2 linked regions of the Oryzias latipes genome follow. The protein of the gene in region 1 purifies or fractionates together with the protein of each later gene. This does not show direct contact. Links are inferred from orthologs where the notes say so. Each region holds a gene or a part of one and is shown on either strand. Other genes may lie near its edges.

Region 1 (4,595 bases):
AAAGAGATTTTAGACACTATATTCATTTTTTTTTTATTTGAGTATAAATTGAGTTGGTAATTTCATAACTATATAGTTGTTGTTTTTGTTTGTTTGTTTGTTTGTTGTTCAGCTTCATTAGAAGTTTTTTTTTTTTGGTGTTGTGCTACTTAGACAACAGGATTGAATTCTATTTACTTGTGTTTTTGGTAAATTTCTAATTCCAAATGACAAAGTCCATTTCAGAGGTGGGAATTCCACTACATTCAATAGTTTAAAAGAGTCCAGAAGGTGGCAGCATAGTCCAAAAAAATAAATACTCAAATCCAGGTCTGCCTATATGATTATCCATGAGTCTAACCCTCACAACCACTTAATCCTGGATAATATGGTTTGTTTTGTATCTCACTGTTAAGCCACTTTGAATTAAATCATCCATTAAATGACTTAAATGTACAGTATTGAGGAGGTGGGGAAATTATTATATTCCAACATCCGGAAGTTCCAAAAGTCATGAATAGTATAGAGGAGCCAATACTCAGAAAAATAATTAGGCATGGTCTCCCACGTGACCAGCAGGTATAGAGGATGCTCATCTCTGCTGCACCTCTGTGGCACAGAAGTTGAAGCTGATTGCACAGCGTCTTGGAACTCTTATTTGTACACTTCCACATTTAAAACTACAAAGGCACACCTTAAATGCACTAAAACTAAGAAATAGAAGAAGTTGTGCAAAGGCACAGTCCATGGCTCACCCTGACTCGGACTCTAGGCACACAGTCGGTGTGTCCGTCAGGTCTCTGGTGAGAGCAGCTGCTTGTTTAGCCAGAACAGACACCACACCTCCATGTTCATCTGACAGAGATCCACGACCTAAAAAAAAAATATGTCAAAGACCCGCTCTGATGAAAATTGTGTTTTAAACATGTTCTTTTGGCATTTTTCTGATGATGGAGAACATATTCAAAAATGCATTTTTCAGGATTTGTTTATTCAAATCGTTGTGAATCAGCAGAATCCAGACTAGATCCATGGACGTCTTTGTTTTTCTCATCCGAGCAGTTATCGGGTTAAAAACTCTAGGACTGTATAGCTCTGATACTGCTCGCTATTTTTGATGTACCGCTAATGTTAGGCTTGGGGTCTGAAGGGCTGAAAGCTAGCAGGAGAGCATGTAAACAGTAAACAGATGAGTGACGACAAGTGGGCTTACTTCACGCCGACAGTCCTGCTCACAACTCAAGAGGTGAATTTTTAAAAAAACTAGTGCTGCTCTGCAGAAACTTTGTTCTGGAAAATGACTATTTTTTTTGGGTCAAAAACAGCTTCATCATAAATAAAAGACTAGGAATGCTTTTGAAATAGATCAAAAGATGATCAGAGTGGGACTTTAAATGATGACCTGCTTTAGATGCATCCTTCTGCTCATCAGATCAGTTCATTTGGACTGCAGTCTTTATTTAGAATTTAACTTTTTTCTTAAAGTAAATCTGATTTCACGTTTTTACAATGTCAGAGCACCAACAGTGTGATAATTTAACATGTAGCTTTAACATCTGGCAGCAAAGGTGTAATAACCAGCAGCAGATCAGACCACCACAGTGAGCCAGAATTCTTTGCTATGTTTGCTGGTCTGAACTGTTACTATCATATAATAGATCAAATCAGTTTGCCTCAAGAGGAAATTGTTACTTATTCAGTTGAAGACCCATTTTTAAATTATTCCGACTCAGGTCTTCAACACGGAAAACAGTCGATCAGTCATGAGAGCCAGGCATGTCCAAAGTCCGGCTTGTGGGCCAAATCCGGCCCCCTTTCAAATTTTCACCGGCCCGTAGGCTCCTACATAAAATCAACAGAACGCGTCCTGCAACAATATCTAAAAGCTGTGTGGTTGGCTAAATCAGACTTTATAAACCTGTGGAAACACTGTTGTGCGACCCTTTTGTGACACTCTCTAGCTCTTTAAGGGTCAACCTCTTAAAGGACAAATGGAAAATTTGAACATTTTTTCAGTGAAATATAAAACAACTGTGTCTGCCTAATGGGCCAGAAGACTGTGGCTGTTTTCATGGAGTTCAATATCAAGAGAAACTACCAGATAAGACATGCTAATACGACAAGCTAACTGTGAATGAACTGTGCAAAAAATATACAAATGTGACAGTAATTTTGGTAAAAACGTAGTTAGATGTCTGTTTTCTATGTGAAGACTGTCATGTAATCATGAAATGTCATGAAAAGTATCCCATTGCAGTATATTTAATTTAATGTGTTTCAAATAGTTCTAAGATTCACTGCAAATATGGGCCTCTTTGGAAAAAGTAACACATCCCGTTATGTAAGCAAAGGATGTCTTTAGGAGACAGATGTCTACACATGATCTGCACTGACCTAAACACTATGGGTCTTCTTTCTGAGTTACATCTTTGCCTCTCTCACTCACTGGCAACATTTCTCTAATGAGATTAAAGACTAAAACATCAGAAATAACAACATGATCTCTCATAAACAGCTGGCGGTGGAAACTTGTGTTTTTGGGGAAACTAAACTGTTGCGGGAATTTATTTATTAGCGAAACTGACGAACTAGAGAATATCGACTACGGGGTACTTCGTGAATAAATACATGTGATGTGACTTCCTGTTAACTCTGAAGAGTCTTACAGCCCAAGTTGTGTCCTTGTTGGTCCGTGCATAGAACCCCAACAACAGCTGGATTTTTCATGCTGCAGAAAAAACACGAAATCAAGAGAATTAGCCAAACGAATGTACGAAATGTAAAGAAACAAGCTAGTTAGCATAGATTAGAACTCACGTATCGTCAAGGTGTTGTTCGAGGGTTGACTCCATCTTTAGAAAACCGTAAAAAAATCAGAAAATGTAAAGTTCTATGGCCCAAAAATTGTATTTTTTGTTGTTGACGTTTGTTTCCTTAAATTCCTCCTGACAATCATGTGACTGTGACGTACAGTAAGAGACATCGCCAGGGTCAAACAAGACGAAGCGCGAACGGCTGAGCCAACTCAAAACTACAAAACAACCAACTAAAGACAGACTGATAACTGTATCTTTTAGTACAAATTAAAAATAATTGGTTTTCAGTAGAATAGAATAGAATAGAATAGAATAGAATAGAATAGAATAGAATTGACGGCTTAATTCAAATAAATGATTTTTGGTGTATTTTTTAATTCTTGTGACATTTTTCTGATGATGCAGGACACATAAAAAAAATAAGATTAAAATTGCATTTCTGAGTATTTCTTTATTCAAATCGTTGTGAATCAGTAGCATGTGCAAAAATGCCATTTGAAATATCCTGCAGATCTGACGTAGAAGCTACTACAAGCTACTACAACCAGCAGCATTTTCCATTATGATGGATTGGCTTGTAGATGACTAGATCCTTGTACATCTTTGTTTTCTTTGCCAGAGCTGACATCTGGATCAAAACGGTATGGCTGCATAGCTCCAATATTGCTAGCCATTTTTGTTGCATAATTTTAGGTTGGGGGCTGTGAGGGGCTGTAAACTGATGATAGGAAGCAGGGATTGGCTTAGTCCTCGCCAACAGTCCCGCCCACAACTCAGAGATGAATTTCTAATGAACTACTGCCACGCTGCAGAAACTATGTATGTCCCTGAAAACGACAAAGGTTTTTTGATTTAGCCTAAAAGCGGCATAGTTATAATTAAAAGACTACCGGTACTGGAAACACTGAAAATAGATCGAATGATTATTGGAGTGGGACTTAAACTGTTTATCTTACTGCAGTGCAGTGGCGGTTTTTGATATGGTCGATGTGGGCGGTCGCCCAGGGCGGCACTTCATAGGGGGCGGCATTTGCCGTTCCTGAGGCGTTACACATAATATGCTACATACTAAATTCAAAGAGGAAGCTTGGAGCTTTTAATTTGAAATTGCTTGAGCAGCCGACACTTAATGCTTTTATTTAGACACATCAGACTCTAAAGAATGTCTTCCTCCTATTTGCTCTTCACACTTATGGTGCAAAAAAAAAAAAAAAAAAAAAAAAAAAAAGAATACCTCAGAGTGAAACAACGTAAAACCGGCACATGAAAATGAATTAGGCAGAACAAACATCCGTGCTCAACCCAATTTCGAAAAAAGCAGGCAATGGAGATTATTTCCCACAATTCTTTGCTCCGACACAGCAGACCCGATGCGCACGTGACCACCGCCCTCTGCTGCAAGACGATTGCGGCCACACCTCTTTGTAGTCTTTGGAACATAAGTCAAAAAACTCGAGAGGGGAGCGCAGCTCGCCGGTGGCTGGCTGAATCACACTAACAGGTGATTGGGGGTCTTTTTCTATCTGACAATCAACTCTGAGCCGCAGCTGCGCGCTGTCGTCATGGAGACGGAGCCGCGTGTGTCAGAGGGAAGGGGAGGGGGAGGGGGGATTAGATCAGACCATTTTTTTAGGATTGAGTTTTTTTGGAGGATTTCTGCTGTTGGTGTTGCACAAATTTAGGGAAATGCCAAATATTTTTGGAGTAATCCCACTGATGAGTTCTAAGATTTAGTCTTTAATGTTCTATAAGACCTAAACATATTAATCACAATAAGTTTTATTTTTTAGATCTAATCCC
Region 2 (3,818 bases), on another chromosome or scaffold:
CTGAAACAGGAGGAGGAGAGACCCCACATCAGCTTCAGGACCACCACAGTGCTCCAAAAGGTTGGGCGGCCTGATCAAACATATTAAATAGAATGTCACTGGCAATTAAATATTTACTGTTCTTTATTCATTCTGTCTTGTAATGGTCAAAAGAGCACCTGAACTACTTGTTTTGCTTGTCTGACATTTTGTCTATAAAATATATAAAACAAATAAATAAATAAAAACGTCTCCTCCACGCCAGAGGGAGAGGCGCGATCTCCGTTCAGGAGACATAAAAGAGCGTTCCATCATCTGCACAGGATTTACCTGGAACATAGAAGTGGGTGGGGTCAAACCAGTGGAACTCCAGGTGAAAGCCGAGGCGCACAGCTTTGATGGTGACCAGAACAATCAGGTAGACGACAGAAATGGTTCCTGGAAGAGACGATGTGAAGTGATGAAGCCGTCACCTGGCTAGCCTCCAACCAAACAACTGAAACGACGTCCCTCTGACCCGTTAGACTCCGCTCAGCATCAGAAAAAGCAGGTCTGAACGGATAAACGCCACGCTTCCTCCATGTCTGCTCCACATAAAGTCTGAGGGAAACCCGCTCCAGCTAACCCCATGGATCTGGATCTGTCTTACCCAGGAAGGTGAAGCGGGCGAAGAAGGAGGCGGAGCGGAAGCTGAGCAGTGGGAGGAGCAGAACGATGAGGTAGAGCGGGACCGTGTTGGTTTTACTCCAGTAGCGCCCAAAGGAGATGTCGTTTCCGGCATCGCCGCCGCCGCTGCCGCAGTCGTCCCCCTCCGGGTGTATGACCGGGTACGGACAGATGACTGCAAACCAAAAACAACGGGATACCGCATCAGTCCAAGCAGACGCAGTCAGCCAGCGGACCGGTACCGGTCCAAAGGACACGGCAGCAGAGAGAAAAAAGTAACATGTTTGTTTTGTCTTATCTGATCCTAAAGGACGTTTTATTTTTGAAAAGTACCAGAAAATGAGTTTTTAAAACAAAGGAAGTCCATACTAATAATCAAAACTATCAGAAAATATTCCAAAGAAAAACAAATGACAGTCAATGCCACTAAGTAAGATTCATGTAACGATGATTTAGCCGTTCAAAAGGAACGCTTACCTTGATCGGAGCCGTTGTTTCCAAACTGAGAATCTGACACGTTGATGTTGTGAGCCTGATCTGCAGACGACACAGGAAATCTGCTTTCTACCACAGAAAAACACGATGAGGCCTAAAGGTAAACGTGGAAGGCCAGCCCCCACCCCGCCCCCACAAGGTACAGAATTACCATGACAACAAGAAAGGATGTGAAGAACTTCAGCACCTAGAAAACCATCCCAGCATAGAACCATTCTAACGGCAGAAACTTTCTCCGCCTGCAGGAAACTTTGATATTATTATTTTGTTTATTTGTGTGTGTGTGTGTGTGTGTGTGTGTGTGTGTGTGTGTGTGTGTGTGTGTGTGTGTGTGTGTGTGTGTGTGTGACACTCACTGTAGATAAACTGCCCCGTGTTGAACAAGAAGTTGGACATGAGGACCCAGTAAACCACCATGGCTCCTAAGAGCGACACCAGGGAGAAGAGGAGGCTGGACCACTGGCCAAACTTTCCAAAGTAGTGCCGACACACGTCCGGAAATTCCCAGTCTGTGGTATCCACGCTTTCTGAAAAACAAAGGTCTGCCATTTCACGTGGAAAACATCCGATTCAAGGACCTGAAAGGTGAGGAAAATCCTAAGACTGTCAGGCAGCATCTGCTCTGACGAGCATTCAGGCCCAAATCCTGTAGAACCGTCATGATTTTCATCTGAGACAGCAGCTGTTGAGGACTTTCTTTAAGCCCCCCCCCCTCCATTCTCAACTACCAGAACCGCCAAATGTTGCAGCTCTGTTGAGCCATGTACAGAATATTATTGGGGGCGGGCCGGGGGGGTATTTTGATGTTGAAAAATGTTCTTTAAATCCCACCCATCTATCCATCTGGCCTTTTTTTTTGGTTGGTATCGTCATCAAATCAGTGCTGGATCCATTAAACAAAAATGTCAAACCTGTTTTTGTTTATTTTTTCAATGACAATGTTTATCAGAATTTCAGAATTAGGTGTTGAATTTGGTGATGAAGCGTTTGGCACCGACATACGGGCTAAACTTTATGAGGACAAACCCCCCCTCAAATGTTTTACTGGATCCATTAGGCTTCCACCAAAGGAATATTTTCCAAAATGAACAGAACTCCAAGTAGAACTGATCTGTGGGTTTAAATAAACAGATTCACTTGGAAAAAGAGGCTTTAAATTTGGTTTCTTTTAGAAAATTAACTTTTTTTTCTGGGTTTTAGGATTTCTCCGTTTTGGCGTTCGACTCGTGGTGAAAACAGAGAAAGGTTGGAGTTTCTTTGTTTGTACTTTGGACTATTTCTGAACCAAACAAATAAAATCAAACATCTAGCATCTGATCACAGTCTGGCCTGAATGCTGACGGGGGGGGGGGGCCTGACTCACTGATGGTCCTTGGCGACTTGAGGACGATGTAGCAGCAGTACAGAGTGAGCAGCCCTGTGAGCACCAGGATGACGACTCCCAGCGTGAAGCCAGCCTGCAAGCAGAGTTCAGACAGACAGGAAGCCTTCAGGCGTGCAGAACAGAAACAGGTTTCCAGCTGCTGAGCGCGCTCAGACGGCAAAAGCCGCTCCATGGGGTGGAACTAAAAGACGTCACCTGTTTGATGCCCCACGGTATGCTGAGAATGGACGTCCCCATCATCGTGTTCCAGATGGCGAAGCTGCAAAACCAGAAGGAACATCAGAGCTGTGGGAGGAGGAATATGGCGCTTGGGGGGGCGGGGGGGGGGGGGGGGAGGGGGGGGGGGGCGGGGGGGGGAGGGGGGGGGGCTCACATGGATATGAGGCTGGAGTTCTTGGAAGTCTGATCTCCTTCTGGGATCTTGAAAGCGATACCAAGAGGACTGTAGATGTAGATCTCCTCAGGCTGTGGGACCACATGGTTTGGGGGGCTCTGGGAAAAACATCAGCAGAGGGGGTGGGGGGTCAGTTGGAGCCAAACTGATATTGATGAGCCTTTGAAAGCTGTAAAGTCATCATGATTTTCTGTCTCTGTGATCTGACAGCATCCTGACATCAGCATAAGAAACAACGACCAGAAAAAATGTCATCTTGTTTTAATACTCTGACACACATGGAAGCGATTCTGTAGCATAATTAAAAATAAAAGTCAATACTTCAAAATGCTTTTTCATTTTCTACTTAAAAACCGCTTATTCTGTGTCATAATTAAAGCGAAAATGCAAAGAGGGGATCGCATTTTCATTTTCACATCCACCCTGCGAATAGTGTTGCATAATTCAGTCGACTTAGCATTTCCGGAGGGGAGGCGGGGCGATGACGTCAGTGCTATAACCGTGTGTCCGGCTGCTAAGAGACTTATGCGAGGAGCAGTGCGGCCAGGCTTGTAGCTTTGTGTTAGCGGCAGAGGAGCTGTGACGGTTGTGAACTCCTGATGAATTTACACAGCTTCTCAGGACTACGTCGCAGCATTTCTGCCTTCAGACGCACCGCGTTCCGTCGAAACTTTCCCCAGGACTAGCTTTGTCTTCGGACCGGCAGCCGGATCGCCGAACGGAAGTGCTGCTACGCAGATCTGAGATACTCTAAACCAGGGGTCGGGAACCTTTTTGGCCAAGAAACGCCACATATTTTGAAATGTAATTTCGAAAGAGCCATACATTAATGTAGTGTCCCTTTCCCACACTGAGGCACGGAGACTTAACCTCTTTTAAGGTTCCCTGCGCGGTTCACCT

Evidence for each region.
Region 2: the proteins of lamtor5 (region 1) and slc38a9 purify together in Homo sapiens (co-immunoprecipitation; 5 studies listed by BioGRID and IntAct, with this or other methods). This does not show direct contact. The link is inferred for Oryzias latipes from reciprocal best matches to the Homo sapiens genes LAMTOR5 and SLC38A9.

Annotation. Positions count from the first base shown.
Region 1 is NC_019865.2:10,897,221-10,901,815, forward strand, and holds the start of lamtor5 (ragulator complex protein LAMTOR5), read right to left. Parts: upstream 2,971-4,595; 5' UTR 2,832-2,970; coding exon 2,797-2,831; intron 2,708-2,796; coding exon 2,646-2,707; intron 853-2,645; coding exon 735-852; intron 1-734. UniProt on the Homo sapiens protein: As part of the Ragulator complex it is involved in amino acid sensing and activation of mTORC1, a signaling complex promoting cell growth in response to growth factors, energy levels, and amino acids.
Region 2 is NC_019870.2:27,098,768-27,102,585, reverse strand, and holds part of slc38a9 (sodium-coupled neutral amino acid transporter 9), read right to left. Parts: intron 3,017-3,818; coding exon 2,898-3,016; intron 2,784-2,897; coding exon 2,720-2,783; intron 2,598-2,719; coding exon 2,504-2,597; intron 1,668-2,503; coding exon 1,497-1,667; intron 1,183-1,496; coding exon 1,123-1,182; intron 821-1,122; coding exon 629-820; intron 418-628; coding exon 310-417; intron 1-309.